Arabidopsis thaliana: one gene and its partner. The protein of the gene in region 1 interacts with the protein of each later gene in a pairwise test. Each region holds a gene or a part of one and is shown on either strand. Other genes may lie near its edges.

The links.
Region 2: the proteins of SKdZeta (region 1) and BEH3 interact in binary tests that used the Arabidopsis thaliana proteins (3 or more experiments, as listed by UniProt).

What each region holds. Positions count from the first base shown.
Region 1 is NC_003071.7:13,180,456-13,189,905, forward strand, and holds SKdZeta (SHAGGY-related protein kinase dZeta), read right to left. Parts: upstream 5,519-9,450; 5' UTR 5,416-5,518; coding exon 5,305-5,415; intron 4,194-5,304; coding exon 4,101-4,193; intron 3,888-4,100; coding exon 3,828-3,887; intron 3,746-3,827; coding exon 3,473-3,745; intron 3,385-3,472; coding exon 3,310-3,384; intron 3,234-3,309; coding exon 3,177-3,233; intron 2,989-3,176; coding exon 2,848-2,988; intron 2,754-2,847; coding exon 2,703-2,753; intron 2,628-2,702; coding exon 2,532-2,627; intron 2,407-2,531; coding exon 2,323-2,406; intron 2,195-2,322; coding exon 2,093-2,194; intron 1,991-2,092; coding exon 1,895-1,990; 3' UTR 1,570-1,894; downstream 1-1,569. Other genes in the region: ASP1 (aspartate aminotransferase 1), read left to right, coding at 91-263, 463-622, 748-843, 935-1,029, 1,159-1,231; AT2G30985 (uncharacterized protein), read left to right, coding at 6,451-6,609; AT2G30990 (arginine N-methyltransferase, putative (DUF688)), read right to left, coding at 7,321-7,350, 7,462-8,247, 8,341-9,306. UniProt on the Arabidopsis thaliana protein: May mediate extracellular signals to regulate transcription in differentiating cells.
Region 2 is NC_003075.7:10,348,744-10,357,318, reverse strand, and holds BEH3 (BES1/BZR1 homolog 3), read right to left. Parts: upstream 4,934-8,575; 5' UTR 4,546-4,933; coding exon 4,330-4,545; exon of another isoform or gene 3,824-4,329; intron 2,699-3,823; coding exon 2,060-2,698; 3' UTR 1,764-2,059; downstream 1-1,763. Other genes in the region: AT4G18900 (Transducin/WD40 repeat-like superfamily protein), read right to left, coding at 4-127, 215-313, 399-478, 596-854; HSF A4A (heat shock transcription factor A4A), read left to right, coding at 8,268-8,489, 8,567-8,575.

The DNA of each region.
Region 1 (9,450 bases):
CTCATCAGTTTCTTATAGTTATCTGTCTATCATTGACTTTATTTCTCCTTGATCAGCCCTCTGCAGACTAACATCGAGTTCTCATTTCAGGCTAAAAAGCATTTCGCATTCTTCGATATGGCTTACCAAGGTTTTGCTAGTGGAGATCCAGCGAGAGATGCCAAGTCCATCAGGATCTTTCTTGAAGATGGTCATCATATTGGAATTTCTCAGTCCTATGCAAAAAACATGGGACTCTACGGCCAGAGGGTGGGATGTCTCAGGTATTCATTTTTCTCAACAAAGAACATCGTTTTCTTCCTACACGAAGGAAAATATGGAAATTAGAAAGTACAGATATCAGCATTTTAAAAATTTGGATTGTAGGCGTCAACAAATTGTATGAAATAGCCATCATACAGGTTCATTTAGTGATGAAGTAAAAACTGAATATGAACATGACAACTTTGTCTTCTACTGCAGTGTGCTTTGTGAAGATCCGAAGCAAGCCGTGGCTGTGAAAAGTCAATTGCAGCAGCTAGCTAGACCAATGTACAGCAACCCACCTTTGCATGGTGCTCAGCTGGTCTCAACCATTCTTGAAGACCCAGAGTTAAAGAGTCTGTGGCTAAAAGAAGTTAAGGTAACATTTATGAAAAAATGCTAATTCTTTCATTCAATTACCTTATATCCCATGTTCACTCTTTTATGTTTAGTAATCAACTATGGAATTAAAATCTGATAAGCCATATGTAAAATCTGTAACAGGTCATGGCTGATAGGATCATCGGCATGAGAACTACTTTGCGAGAAAGCCTTGAGAAGTTAGGATCGCCTTTGTCATGGGAGCACGTTACCAAACAGGTAACTACAACAACAAAATAGGCTTCTTTTGTGAAATTCTTGTTATTTCTCTCCTTTGACTCACACAGTCATATCTTTATGGTGATAACAGATTGGAATGTTCTGCTACAGTGGGTTAACACCAGAACAGGTTGACCGCTTAACAAGCGAATATCACATCTATATGACCCGTAACGGCCGTATCAGGTACTTCACTTTCTCCTGATTAGAAATCTTTCAGCTCACATTCAATGCAATCCATTTCCTAACATCAACATGCTTAATTTCAATGCAAGCCATTTCCTAATCATTGAGGCTCTTGATGTTTGGTTGCAGTATGGCTGGTGTTACAACAGGAAACGTGGGATACCTTGCGAATGCTATACATGAAGTCACCAAGTCATCTTAAATCATTTACTTACATGTTTCAGCCAAACATACAAATTTTGTTTGAAGAGTCAATAAGACAGGAGGCTAGATTTGTACTTCTGCAATTGGTTTTGTGGGAACTGAAAGTTTACCCATAAACAGTAATTTATTAGCGCATTTTTTCGTTAGCTGGGCAATAAAAGCAAAGCCTAAACGATGGATTTTTGGATATACAAAATTCGGATTGTTTTCTTTCTTCTCAATTGCTCTTTTTGTGCTTGTTTCCTTTCAACGTTACAATGCCAATGCTGGCAAAATTTTATCCTCAAGCTCATTGATTTCAAATGTTTTTAGTTTTTACTTTTACCGTAGGCAACTTTAGATTATCATGATTTCATTTCATCATTTCGGTTATTTGACTTGCAGTTTGGAATCGATTTTGTTTCATTTCAAGGACAAAAACATATACAAATACTGATACAGGAGAAAAGTATCTCTCTACAAGTCAGTGAACAAAAAGAATATAATAGGACACAATCATCGCCTCCTGATTTCTCAAAAAGCTGAATTGGCCACGTCTAAGGAGGAGACATCATCTCTTCTCAGAAGCTGATACTTAGTTAATCAGAGAGAAGTAAATCTCCCTCTCCTTCATTCCATAAGGCGGCATTTTGCTCTGGAAAAGCATCTCGAGATCGCTTTTCTAGGGTCCAGCTTGAAATGGAAAGCCACCATTCATCTGTCGCCTCACATGCTCTGGTATTAGCCTGTTGATAAGCTCCGGTGAAGCCCCAGACAACTGTTTCAATAGTCAAAGAGAGAGCTAACAGATTGAGTAACTGTATGCACATTCAGTTATGTTTGGTTGAAGGAAAAGTGATTTTGGAATGGTTTAACATACCTCTTGTTTGAAGTTGAACAACGGTGGTAGAGGTCGGCCATTTGGAAGACGAGCATTTGGCTCACGGAGTTCATTGAAAAACGGATGCGCACATGCCTCGAGCTTCAGACGGCAAACAAACAAGTCAGTTGAAAAACAACATTTCACTCCTTCATTGAACAGTGTATGGTCCAAAGAAGCCAGAGAGAACCACTGTAACAATTAAGAGTACTTGGTTTAGAAATACCAACCGCAGTGCAACGTAGACTTGGTGAGTATTGAAGAAGCCGAGATGCAAGGTCAATGGCTTCCGGAGGCATCCGCTTGTGGAAAACCTGGAGGTCATAGAGCAGTTGTGCACCGTGTTAGCTTCTTTTCCATGAATGTTGTTTAGGTAGAGAAGTAAGCAATTGTATGATTAGAAAGAAGTTCGAAAGTGACATGCATATATATATATTACCTTATGCCAAGGGTGGGCTTTGATTTGTGGGAATCTGAAGTCTGTGTAGTTTGGGTTCATGCACCGGATTTCTTCGCGAGTTGGAGTACCAAGAACCTAAACCAACACAGCACATCATGAGCACAGACAGGAAATGACGCCAAAACAAAATATAATAAAAGAAGAGTTCACCTTTATGATCTCCACTAGCTGGTCCACAGAATTTTCTCCCGGGAATAACGGCTGTGAAGATAAATAATACCACATTGTTTACAGAAGATTTTGGAGAGATGCTTTAGTTCTCAAGATACTCAACAGGTTAGAAATTTACACTAACCTGCCCAAGAAGTAGCTCTGCCAGAACACAACCAGCAGACCATATATCAATGGATGATGTATACTCTGTGGCACCAAAGATGAGTTCTGGAGCTCGGTAATACCGAGAGCAGATATATGATATGTTTGCTTCACCTTTCACCTAATATAAAAAGCCAAATGTTGCAAATATCAGGCTAACAGAGAAATATCTGAAACTGCATCCATACTTATGTAAATTACTTGCATAATATTCACTTAATTGGAGTTTTTAACTACTGCATGCAAAGACACAAGCACAGTGGAAAAGACAAACAACAAATGGGGTAAATAAAAGTCTAAACCTCTTACCAGTACTTTTGCACTTCCAAAATCACAGAGCTTACACTGATGGGTGAGGGGATCAACCTACAGAACATACAGAGAATAAGATTACAATCTAGTCAAGGTTACCAAAGACAAAACCCACAATAGATCAACGTACCAAAAGATTTTGTGGTTTCACATCTCTGTGGCAGACACCAGGAGCAGTATGGATATAAGCCAAGCCTCTGAAGATCTGCACAACATATTTTATAAACAGTTTTAGGATAAACACAACAGAGTAAAGAGTATTTATTGGGGAAAGAGTAGATAACAATGCATACTTGGTATGTGTAAAGTTTGACATAGAAGATAGGCATCCGCTGGTTTGAACTAGTATAGTGCTTCAAAACCCGGTACAATGTCTCTGGTACATACTCCATAACGAGATTGAGGAAGAGCTCATCTCTAGTCGTTGTAGAGAAGAAACAATGCTTCAAGGAAACCACATTTGGATGGTCCATTAGTCGCATTAATTGCAACTCTCGGTTTTTATAACGGCGATCTTGCAAAACCTTCTTAATGGCTACTGATTCTCCAGTTTCCAAGCATTTTGCCTAGAATGGTAAGTTAACAATCTGATCAGAAAGGAAAGACAAAAAGCCATTTGCCTGTAGACAGTGACAAGCACAATGATACCTGGAATACAATTCCGAATGATCCTGTTCCAACAACACGTTCGGCCATGTAACTAATGGTCTGTAAAGGCCAGAGGGATGAAAACATTAGAGAGTAGAACTTAGAGTTGGAAAAAAGGAGCCACAAAGTCAAAAGATGTAAAAACCTATTTATTTATTTGTTGAATTTCTATAGATTAATCCAAACCTTAGGTAACCTTATACATGGTAGTGTGCTCGAGCAATAACTATGATTTAAATCATTACAAAGATTTAATAAACAACAGAATCCAACCTGTTTAGGTTCACCATTTTTGCCTCCAATTGTAGTAGAAATTATGTGACCGGTAACAGCATCATTTCCTTCTATAACAGCAGCAGACATTTCCTAAAATCAAACGTGAACATATTATTACAGGAGTTAAAACTATTCTTGTCTACAAAGAATGAAGGAAAGTAGTAACAATTAGTGTTTCCTCCGATGTATATTGATTGAATAGACAAATAATTCAAAATATTCGAATCGTTTTTCAATCAGTTCTATCAAGTGTATGAAATCTTCCAGAATATAAACTTTCCTTTAAAATAGCATTCAAATCTAAGAACAGTCAATGCCCAATTTACAGAGAATTCAATCATGTAAGATAACTAAATGTAAATCTAAATGATGTCGCAAGTTCCTGTTGACCAGAGGCTAACAAAATTCAGAAAACAAATGCATACTACTATACTAGTTGTTACAGGTAAAGGAAAGCTAAAAAATGATAACTGTAACTTCAAGAGTAGAGAAAGATTAAGATGTCAACCATTTTGTGGACATAAGAAACTTGTACAAAATCAAAAGATACAATCAGACACAACATGGAACAGACACTGTCAGGTGGAGAAACAAAGCAAAAGAACATAAAACAAAAGAAAAGAGTTCAGAATCAATACAGAATGGGCCAAGAATCATATAATCTAAACGAATACTCCAAAAACTGTCAGGAAAAAGAAGAAAAAAAACTCGAAGATACACAAGTACTTTGTGAAGTCAAAAGTGTTAAATTTAACACCCAAACTATGAGGTTACTTCTTTAGGGTTCAAAGGGTTATTACTAGAAAATTTCTGTTATTTACCCTAATTTCTTCTTTAGGGTTCGAAGGTTTACTGCTACTAATCAAAAACAGCTCAAGAGATCAATCTTCACTACAAAAAAGGTTGAAAATTTCAGCTGAAGAAAAGTAAAACTAGCTACTATGAAGTCAAAATGCACAATCTTCAATGAGCTCAAATCAAGAACGCTGACTAAAAAGGAACACAGATCGATTGACTAACACATCGAAACAAGCAAAATCCGAGCTAGATCTAGAAAACCCACAAAACGAAAATTGAAATACATTGTTCACGAAAGAATCAATCAGAGAGAGAGAGAGAGAGAGAGAGAGAGAGAGAGAGAGAGAGAGAGAGAGAGAGATACACACAAACGTTTCAAGTTATAAGAGAAGAAAAAACTAACCTTGTCGTTGTCTATATCGGGACGACGTTTCAAAGAATCTCCGCCGTGAAGATGCGGCGGCTGAGGAGCTAAAGACGGAGGCTGAGGAGGCCCCAATGGTATCGAAGTCATGTGCTTTTACAGCTCTAACTTCTCTCTCTCACTGAAAGAGTAAAGACTATTTTGTTCTCTCTCTATTACCTGGTGTTCTGTCTAAACTTGAGAAAATTTTTAAAGATAAAGAGGAAACCCACGCGTAAGTTTAGCGCGTGATTCTTACGCTCCAATGAAACACTAATCTGTTTATTAAGTAGTCATTATTTAATAAGCACAGTGATTGGTGAAGTGAAAAGTCTGATAACTCCGTAATAATACCATAATGCAATTTATTGTGGAGATTACTACATTCACACAATCAGATAATTTGGGTAAACTAACAACAACTACTCTCTTTCAGATTAATAGTTGTTTTGGAGTTTTACCACAATTTTAAAAACTCTTTAATCTATCTACTAATATAAATTGTTTACAGTATTCATTCTAGTTTTTTTAACAGTTTTTATTCGCTATCGGTAAACTCTTTGAATGGAAAAATATTGGCTTACGTTACGTATGTGTTTTCTGAATCTTGAATCTTCTAAGTTTTTGTCATTTTAGAAAAAAAATTGGTGTTCTCTGGAGCCAGATGGCTACATATTTGACTTTTAATATTTGGTCCAATTTAAAGGATGGATAAAAGTCTTAGAATAAGGGGAGTGGACTTAGCACATGGACGAATGACGATCATAATCAATTTCTTGGAACATTTTGTTTAATAATAACTCGCTATTTGGATTCCAACGACCAACACTATGGACAAATAACATCAAAACAATGTTAAAATATATACATACAAAAACTATGATTGAGATATATTTTTCTCTTGTATACATCATGACATGATATATTTACGTCGAAATTTTCTTTTAACATGATATGGTGATAAAATTATTCATTAAGATGATTAGTTTGTGCAGAAAAAATACAAACGATGGAACTATTAAAGTAGAATGAAACTGATAGTAGGATGATGCAAGAATCGGATCCGATCATACTAATATCAAATAGATATTTGATTTTACTTTAGCATAACGATAATAAGATTAGGCACATGTTGTTCTTTAGGTAATGCCTAGATGTTCTAAGCAAATTGGTCATAAATTCAAATACGTACGGAAACAGTACCCAAGTGATATATCTACTTATCTAGCAACCCCCTCCTCCTCCACCACCATCACCACTGCAACCGCCAAAAACGCCACCTTTACAGCAGCAACAGCAACTTGAATCCTTCTTCTTTTCCTTCTTTTTGGAGCAAGCAAATACGGCCATGGTTACAAGTAACAACGACAGAAGAAACATGAAAATCAAGAACAAAACACCCCCAAAAGCAGCAGCTTCTTTCATGTCAAACTAACTGATAAAGAAACCTCTCACTCTCTCTCTATATTGTTTTTTAAATTTCTCTTCACTCATATATTTGCATGTGATCTTCCATGCCACTATATATATAAAGAGAATAAGAGATGAAATGTGAACATTTTCACACCAATATTGTTTCAATAATTCCTCTAGTGACTAATTTAGTCAAGGTATTCAATTCAATTCAATTCTGCAGCTTTCAAGTTTCCTTTCTAGTGAGCTCTATATTTTGAAACCATAATTACAAAAGAACGAAAAAAAAAAGTCTATTAGTAGAGAATAAAGAAGCAGTGTCACATGGAATTATTGCCATGAAATCTCCGTTAACATGAGCTGTACATCACTTCAACAAGAAACCTCTCCTTAAGTGCCAGACAATATTTAAGACATTTATCTCCATTGCTTTCTCTTTATCATGGAATCTTTTTGATTCAGATTTACACAAATAGTTAAAGACAAAATACCCAAACTTTATTGGCTCATCCCTTCTTTATTGTTGAAAATTTACATGTAATTTGGTGTGAAAAATTTTACAGTTTCTTCATTACCACCAGTGAGAATTTTGTTTTGGTCTTGCTATGACTCTGGTATAGGGTTTAGTGTTTCCTGAAAGAACAAAACAGGATCAACAAGTATTAACACATTTTGCCAAGCATTGACTTTGAAAATTAAGACACATTTGTGAAAGTATTGGACGTTTCTTTTTTTTTTTTTTACCTTGGAGAAGCACACAAACCCTTGCTGTGTATTGGACGTTTTGACCATAGTTTCCCACTTTGGATTAGCTTGAGTCTTGGTAAAGTGATTATCATCATCAGTGCCAAGAGACTGTAACCATGCGAATGAGTTGTTTTTTGGTGGTATTGTTGGTAATGTACGCTTTAACCAAGAATCTGAAGGAGCTTTTGGTAATGGTGGTGGAGGAACAATGAGATAACTTGAACGATGATGAAGCCTTGAACTTTCAATATTTGTTGTGATTACTTGCAACTGAACTTCAAGATCAATCTTCTTCTCCTTTGTAATCTCTACCACATCGGATTCTGGCAGTGCAACAATAGCTTGATGATCAGGACATTCTTCAACTTTCTGACTTGAGAATTTAGTGAAATCCTCATCTCTGTTACCATTCTCTTGCTCAATGCTTTTAGGCTGCGAGATATCAGCTTCTTCATCTTTTACAGGAACAATGTCTAGTGAAGGAGACTCTTTCAATATAGGCTGCTTCTTGGACTCTTCTTGTACCTTCTTATCTACTAGATGCACAATGTCTACATACAGAGTTTTCTCTGCCACAGGAGTCTCGGATGAAGGTTCCCATGTATTCTCATCACTAGCCAAGAGCTCACCAAAGTTTTTACTGATTTTACTGCGTGAAGCGGTGCCAACGTTCTCGAGTTTCTCTTTTCCTTGTGGTATAGAAGATACTGATAATGACTCACCTTGAGAAGACCCTTTTGCAACTGATTCAATTAGCTTCAACTTCCTCTTATCTTCATTTTGCTATAGAGAGAAAAATATAAAAGAAATTTGATGAGAGAAAAGGTCTCAGTGTAATGATGAACGAGGTGGCGAGAAGGAGAGGGAATCAATTACCTTGTTATGAGTTTCATTAGAAGGTGCAGAATCTTGGTACTTAGACCGCATACGACGAACAGAAACAGCTCTTTGTTGCTGCATTCTCACAGATGGAACCGGATTCAATAGTCCCAAAGAGCTTCTCAAGCAGAGTTGAGGGAGTAATCCACAAACACCAGACGCCATCATGCTGCTTATATTTCCATCTTCCTCTTCTTGATCAGGCGAATGACGAAACCGATACGGATTTTGCTCCACTTTGTTCTGTTTCTTCTTCATCAACTGCTTCACCGGTTCTTCTGGTTTAGGTGGTTTCCTAGCAAGATGTGGAGGTGATTCTGAAGTCAAAGCTTTAGCTGCAGGCAAGAATCTCCCCATCATTAGATCCTGAGTTTGTCGATCAGTCGATAAAGTTCCAAATGGCTCTACTAGTATCCCTGAACCATCCAAACCACTCGCACCACTAACAGCACTACAGTTAAAGAAGAATGACTCAGTTCTTGAAAGTGTATCAGTTGCATCAAGATAAGTACCATCACTATCATCATCATCATCATCATACCGAGAACTATTACTCTTTGCATCCTCCACAAGATATTTATCCGAAGACGATACAGTTTTGGTCTGGTGATCAGCTCCAGTACTTTCAGGTTTCCTCCCTAACTCTACTACTCGCTCTCTACCAGGAGGAAGCTTTGGCACAAAATGTGGCTCTACAAAACTTTGCAAAACCGGTTTCCTTTCGTCTTTTGGCTTTCCAGGCTTATGTTCCCATTGAAAAGGAACAGTTCCTGGATTTCTCACAGGACCTGACTTGATATCAGACTTGTAAACTGGTGGAGAAGGAGGAATCATGTTGGTTACTGAATCAAAAGATCTTGTTTTGCTCTCAGATTCTGAAGTTTGTGTAGGCCGTCTAATGGATATAAGCGGACGGTTGAAATCCAGTTGCTTCTCTTCCATCATTAAGCTCCCCATTAACATTCTGCATAATCAAAATCATCATTAAGAAGACTTGCAATAACTTCAAACATCATGTAATTTTCATAATAAACCTCTTCAACTAGCTTTGTTCTTCCATGTCAAAACTCTTAAGTCAAGATTATCACTATTCACTAATGTGTCAGA
Region 2 (8,575 bases), on another chromosome or scaffold:
AACCTCTTTCTCCTCCTTTAAGTGGACAATCAAGCCAAGCAGTACACAATGGAATTGCTGGTATAATTCTGTAATGATGATTATACATATTTGGAGAACCATGGGATGTGTCCTCGGATACATAAACCTAATCATGCATTCATATAAGTTTCAATGTCGGATCTATATATGTGCAGTAAAATAAATAAATAAAATGTTGAAATAATTGACAAACGTCAAGACGGTTAGCTTCTTTGTCGTCAGTCATAGCGCAGACAATCACTAAATCGGTTGGTAAGATTGGTGGATCATCATCCGAGTCATCATCATGATCCTAGAAAAACATAGATGTTATTGTGTCTATATAGAAAATCCGGTAACTCTGTATATAAAAAAAAAGTTTAGTGATAAGGACTTACATCATTTCTCTTGAGATATGGATCCATCTCGTTACTCTTATAGTAAAGATCCCCACGCCCGGAGCTAAAAATTTCAATTCCTGAATCCAAACACAACAATGGAAAGTCTAATTTAGTTGTACACAATGAAAGCATAAATTGAGTTTTGAGATTCTCTACACATCTATAGGAGAACAAAGAATTAAAACCTAACTTACCATCATCCTCTTCATCGTAATTATCCATGTCGAGTTCTTTCAAACCCTCAGCTACCTCATCATCAAGCTCCATTGAAGAAGAAACATTCTTGCTTTTGGATGATTTTCCAAACTCTTCTGCTACGGCTTTCGCATGAGCAACTTCACCATTCTCTTCTTCATCCTCGGTCTCTTCTTCTTCTGTATCATTACTGAAATATTTACAACTGTCTTTGTGCATTTCGATTTCCTCCTTAGAAGGAAGTTCATCAGCACGCATGGCCTTTGCAACCCCTTTTGGTATCCATGAAAATGTAGTTATCATTCTGCAAAATAAATTTACAAACGAAAATCAATTAGGGAAAGAAACATACACCCTTTTTTAGCTCACAGAAACCCTAACGAAATCCCCATCTAACACGACACATCTTCCAAAACCACTCAAAACAAGAATTCCCAAAGATTACAATAACCAAATAAACACACACACACACACACAAAGAAAAGCATAACAAACAAAAAGGGTCAAATAATAATTATACCAATTTTCAAAATCCAAGGTCGAGAATCGAGAGGTTCAACAACAAAGATAACATAATGATAGAAGAATCGGGTAAAACACATTCCTTACTAAAGAAAATAATTAACCTGATTAACTCTTTACGATGATGACAACTTACGTTACAAATACAAACGAGGCTTACACTTAACCCTTGCTCGGAGGTATCTATCCAAATTAGCGAGAGAGAGCGAGGGTTCTGTTTACATACTCTTAAATAAATTCATTAAAAAATAAATCATATAAAAAAATTATGTATATATGGGCCTCATTTTTAGCCAAATAAGAACAATTGGACATTTAAATTGGATCCACTAAGTAATTTGTTGACTTGTAAAATAGTCCAGTTGAAGTTACTATTCATATTATTCGCGAAATTACGTACGAGTTGTCATAGTGTCGCGTTTTACGTACGCTAATTAACAAGACCAATCACATGTGGTCCTCATTGTTAGTTGACTTTCTATTGGGTTACGCATGACTTCTTGGACATATCTTTGGTCTTTCAACGTAATCCACTTTTCTGTTATCTTTTAAATGTATAGAAAAATATAAAATTTTCAGCGATAGATACTGATATTTTCTCACGTTCACAATGGTTACTAAAGTCCAATCTGGCTTCAATATTTTATATAAAATTCATTATACTAACATCACTAATCTCAAATCGAATTTCCACAAATAACTTTTTTTTTAAAGAAGCTTCAAGATATAAAATAGATTCTAACTACAACTTTAGTCAAAAGCCAACAAAAAAAAAAAGAAAAAAAAAAAAGAAAACAGAGCTCAAAATGTTCTTTTTTTGTTTCTCTTTCTATTCTCCTTTTTTTCCTCTGAGTCACCTTTAAACATCACACTGGAAAAAAAAGACAGACAAAAAAGAAGACTTAATGATAGCAAACGACTTTGATTCTTCTCTGAAATGATCATCTGGTTCTTGAGTTTCCAAGTGTAAGTTCTAAATCATCTGAAACACATTCTCCATGTATCCTTTCTCCTTCCCAAGGCTTCACCATTCCATTCGCAGCCATTGCGTTACAACCAAACGCAAACTCAGCCGTCATTCCATCAGCCATTGGCACATCAGAGTTCTGATCAACACCAGCAGGAATAGCTGGAGAGCAGTTTCCACTTTGTCCAGGAGTCCACATTGGTGAATTACAATCTCCCATTTTAAAAGCCTCTTTGTCGAAAAACGGGTTTCTTGAAACTAAACTGAAAGTAGGAGAAGACGGTCCGCTCTGCGGAGTTTGCATTCCTGAGAGCCATCCAGAGTCAGGGATGGTTACTTGATCACGAGTAGGGCTTCGAGCCAATGGCGGAGTCACGGGAGCGCTTATTGAATTTCCATGGAAGAAGGGAAGCTTGGAAGGTGAGTTTGAAGAGAGGTTCTTGAGCCATGGGATTAGTGAGTTAGCATCACCAAATGGGTTTGTAGGACTCGGGAATGATGAAGACGAAGGGCTTGGATTGTAGGAAGCACGAGGGCTATGTTGATACGATGAGCATGGACTAGCTGAAGTAGAACCATTCATGAGGTCCATTCGATCCATTGGTTTGCATCCCTACACAATAGTTTATTGCAAATTGTGTAAGAAATATCACAAAATGTAACCAACACAATCCATTTGGAGCTGAGACTCTCTCAATCTTTTGCTAGTGGATTAATTACATAATGCAAAAGCTGGTGAGCAACAAACAAAAAGACATTATGATTGATAATAGAAAATCCAAATGCACAAAGGAAAAAAAAAAGTAAAGAACAATGATTCTGTTTCGTTTTATAATGGTCAAAGAACAACATTTGCTAATGGATGGATCAGAAGATCTCAAAAGAACAATCTTTTCTAATAGATTATCAACAACAACAAAAAGAGCATAAAATGTTTTTTTTTCTTTCTTTTTAACGAAATGTAAGAGCTGTAGAGCATGAACAAGATAGCACTATGATTGATAGTTGAAAACCAAAATGCACCTAAGCAAAAAAGTGAGAAAAAACAATGATTTTATTTGGTATATAGTGCTCAAAGAACTAATCTTTGCTAAATGGATCGAGAATACCTCATAGATTATTTACATAAAAATGTGTTTTTTTTTTCTTTTTCCATTTTACGAAATGCAAAAGCTGGTGAGCAACGAACAAGATGACACAATGATTGAAAAATTGAAAATCCAGATGCAACTAAGGAAAGAAAAAAGTAAAAGAACAATGATTTTCTTTGGCATCTAATGGTCAAACAATGAATAATTCCATTTTATTTATCCCCACACAAGCAAAATCCAAACATCATCATTAGATGTTGGCAAAAGGGGAAATCATTTCTTCAGTCTCACCATTGACCAGCTAAACAAGAATTAAGACAGTTAACATAGTACTAATTTAAGTATATAACAAAACAAAAATAAACACTCATGGAAACTACTGAATCACACGAGCCAAGAATCCCAAGTCCCTTTTTTATTTTCTTGACACAATATAGCTTTTTCTGGTAAATACTAAATCCACAGCAACATAAGCTAAAATTTGAGTCTTTTTGACAGGTTAGTTATCTTATGTTAATGTAAGTGTGAACGTAAGCAAATGAAGAAAAGTTATGATTCAACAAAAAGCAAAATTCGAATTTCAGAGAAAGTGTCAGTCTGAAAAGTAAAGAAAAAAAACATGTGAGCAAGAAAAAAAAAAGGTTTACCTCGATCGTTGTACAAAGGAATCTAAACCCATTACCAATGGCAGTTTTCGTGAAACAGACGTGTCCTAAAGTTTCAATTATAAAGCAAAAGGTTGTGTGACCAAAGAAAAACACAAAAAGAAAAATTCTCAAAGCTTACACATTTTCTATAATACCTCACTAAATGACGATATTACCCTAAATATTATTGTAAGACCATGTGATTAGTAAGGGTAATGTGGTCACTACGTATAATTCTCATCTGAAAGTGAACAGAGAGTTTGTGTGAAAGCATCAGCGAATCTTAAGACATTCATGCTTTTGTTTCAGTTCACCGGAACGGTTTCGATCTGACGTTTGCTATGACTAACTAAACCAGTCAAACTAAATCCCAACCGTCGATTTTTTTTCTCTCAGCAAAATCGAACGGTTAGATCTATTCACAGTTTTAATAATCCTTAAAAAAATCTACAAAATCGATAATATTTTTCAAGAAATTTAGGATCGAGATTTTTTTTTTGGTTTACCTTGCGGTAAGTAGTTCCGTCGTCTTCTACAGTCCAACCAGCTTCATTGCATAAAGCTTTGAGGACTTCATTGTTGTCGCAGTGTTTAGGGAGCTTGAAGTTTCCATGAATCCTTAGTCCTGCGAAGATCTTAGCCGCAATCGCTCGTCTTCGCCGCTCTCGCCGTTTGTTGTTCTCTCTCTCTTTCCAAGTCGGCGTTCTAGTCCCCGACGTCATTCTCAGATCACCGGAATTTGGAAAAATAACACGACGTCGTCTCTCTGTTTTAACTGCCTCTTCTTCTAAGTGTTATCTCGTAGAGAGGATAAAAAATCTCGCCGGTGAAAACTAATTTCGCGCTTTATTTTTGTTTTGTTCCTTTTTCTGGTTCTGAGTTTTTTCTGGTGGAGTAATAAATGAAGAAGCACTTAACAGGGTGAAGAAAAAAGAAGTCTGATTGTGAAAAGACGAAATTACCCTTAAAGTATGTTGTAATTTACAAGGATGTCCCATATGTGTTAACACGTGCTCAGGCTTTTTTAATAAAGCAGGAAAATCGAAATGCGACACAGTTTGTGTTTACATTTTGAGAATTCAAAGGTCAAGACTATCAAGCTGCTTTTATAATAACTTTTCTTTTGTGTCAAACACTATTTTTGTGTATAATAAAATCTAGCTTCTACAATAACTAATTTTATCATTTTACAACTTTATGCTTATTCAATGACAGCATTTTCCAACTACGGACTATCCACATCCAATAGAGACTATGAATAAAATCATGCTACACTTAATATATAAATTTAGCTAAACTAATTACGTAGTTAACTAAAATAACTGCGAGTCCAAAATACGTGGCAGAGATTGCGGCATCTACAAAATGTGACAGGTCACCTTTCGTGGGATCACAAAAAATCCAATCATGACCGTTAAATCGGGTGGGTCACGTGATGCTCTCGATCTGCTTGCCATCAACTTGTCATTGCTCGTGACTCCTTTGCTCTTTTTCATTAATTACTTTTTAGTCTTAAAGGCATCTCCAACCATAACACTATTTTGGTGCTGAAATAACACTATATTTGGTGTAGATTCAACACTAAAATATTTTCAATCTCCAACCACAACACTATATATCACACTAAAAATAATATTTTCTATTATTATATTATTAAACCAAATATTATTTTTAATATTTAATATTTTTAATTTATTGATTAATACAAATTACAATCTATATATCAAAATAGCTTTAAATTTTGTAAGTTTATATTTTCAATGGTTAATTGAATTTTATTATGTAATTTCAATAAATCTTTTGTTATAATTTTTATATCTTCTACTGATTAATATTTCATAATCATATTATCAAAATTAAAAATACATAAATAGTTTTGATATTTTTTTTTTTTACTTACAAAATTCAATTAAATTATTAGATGACAATACAAATCATATTTAATATGCTATACCTAAATAAGCTATATTCATATGTAATAATTTTAAAGTAAAAAAAAATATATATTTAATTTTACCGTTGCTACAGTAGCACGCCAAATATAGTGGAGTACTGTACAAAATAAAGGAATCACACTATTATAGTGTAATATTTACAGTTGGGTTGGAGTGAAAAAGTATATTGCATCACATCAAAATACAGTTTTACCGTTACGTTGGAGATGGCCTAAGTATAGTAATTAGAATAAGTATGCTTTTTTTGTGTGTGTGACAACAATTAGAATAAGTATGCTATTCTTTGACATTTATACCATCTGTTACCCAACCAATAAAAATATTCGTACCACTGCTAAATAGAACACATCTTTGATTCCAAGTTTCTTATAACGTACAACACAATTTGTGTGTTTGTCTACACATGCCTTTTATTATCCGACACTAATAAATATTTTGTAGTAGTACTATCCACATTCCACACTTGCCTTTATCTCTATATATTTGTGTAGTACTATCAACATTCCACACTTGCCTTATTCTCTCTATATATGGTGTACTTAAGTATATATATCAACTAACACACGTTGTGTAATATGTCTAATTTTGTGTTTATATGACTTCAATAACACTACAAGTTAACGAAGGACTCAATTCGTCCTACTCCGACCACAATAGTTGGGACCCAAATTAGTTGAAACAATATATTTCATCTTTATCAAAGTAATTTTTAAATTCCATGTAGAAGTTATTCACAACCAATAATAAACCACATTATATGTTACAAATTTTAACATTTTTATACGTATTTGCGATTACATGTAGGTTATCTACAATTTTTGGTTATCTATGATTTCTATAATGTAATTAGGTTATTGATCCTTTTTTTTTTACTGTGTCTTAGTCTTACTGGATGTGAATACTATAGCAGAATTAATTTTAATTTAAAACATTTTAAATTGATTTTTGGTATTGGAATATTGTAATATAGCGTTGACGGGGACAGTGAACTAAGCACATACGTGTGCATTTTTCTTTAAAGAAATATCAATATTGTGCAACGATCGAACCGGATTAATACCACAATGTTCTTTTACCTCAAACAGTAGTGAATTAATGTTGGACATGAATTTAGAAATCCCGTTTCAATAGCATTTGAATAAGCTAAGTAGTGATCTTACACTAACATATATTAATAAGCTAAGCACTTTAATATTTCAGGTTTGATCCGACTTTTTCTTGCACTAACGATACTGCCTTAATTCAATCTTTGTTTACGTATGCACATCAAAATTATTTAAAAAAAACATTCAGATGTTCGACAGAAAAAAAAACCCCAAAAGAAAAAACTAAAGGAGGCATGATATTTACCAAATGCCAAACACAATTGAATATCCTTCAAAACAAGACTTTTCGATTTCGTGTCCTCCAAATAAAAATCAAAGACTTTTCTTTAGTTTATAAACCCCAAAAAGAGATCAACAACGAATTTTCTTACGGCCATAAATGCTTCTACATTAACAAACAAACAAGATCTCTATGCTTATATTCATTGACTATTCACATTTTTATATAATTGAAAGAAATAAACTTTATGCCAAAAACAGCTCTATCATTATCTCATGGGGTGATTTTGATAATAATAAAATAATAAAACATTCCACCAAACCCAATCTTTGTAAAACTATGAAACAGCTGTTCTGTTCTGATTCGTACTTGCTTCATCAACCTTTTTGTAATCAAAAGCTAAATCGTATAATCACAAATCCCTCAGAAACTGTTCGTTTTTTGTTATCGTTTACGCGTTTTTAATCGCTAATCAGTTATATAAAAAATCGACGAAAGGTTTGACGAATCGTCGTCGTCGTAAATCCCCACCGGGTCAATCGACTCGTTTACTTTTCTACGGTCTTCTCTCCTCAAAGAGTCTCTCTCTCTCTCTCTGATATTTCCGCAGCAATAATGGTATAGATAGAGATACAGAAGCAGACAAATTATTGCTGCTTGAAATTCTCTTGTCTGATTAAAATATATATACCCAAGTCCAGAAGCTGTTTAGGTTCGAGAAGCAGAGAGGGTTCGAGAAGCTAATAAGGGTTTCTTCTTTTTGATTTTAATGCTAAAAGGGTTCTAGATTCGTTGAATTTTACAAGGGTTTTAGGGGTTCTTAGAAGCTTTTGCTTGATTGTCTTTTATTTAGAAACAGTGGTGAGTTTTTAGTCTTTCACTTTGTTCAAGTTCGAAGCTTTTTTTGGAGGGAATTTTGGGCTTCTGATTTTGATCGAAACTTACTGATAGTAAGTTCTTTGAGTCCTCCTTAACTGTAGTTTCTGTGTACTGAAGTTATTGAATTGAAAGTTTTTATCTTTTTTGGTTATTGAAACTTTCATAGTTTGATCAAAAGAGTCTCTTGCTCTGTTTTTGGCTCTGTTTTTGTGAGTGTGATTGTAAGCTTTGTTGTGAGTAGATTGAATCAAGGAGTGTGAGAGTTGTTAAAAGTGTTTTCAGAGATGGATGAGAATAATCATGGAGTTTCATCAAGCTCACTTCCACCTTTCCTCACCAAAACATATGAGATGGTTGATGATTCTTCATCCGATTCTATCGTCTCTTGGAGTCAGAGCAATAAGAGTTTCATCGTTTGGAATCCGCCGGAGTTTTCTAGAGATCTTCTTCCGAGATTCTTCAAGCACAATAACTTCTCTAGCTTTATCCGCCAGCTTAACACATATGTAAGTGTTTTCATGCTTTGTTTAAAAGTATTGACTAAATCAATCATCTTCTTAGTGGAATTTGTTTTTGTGTGTAGGGTTTTAGA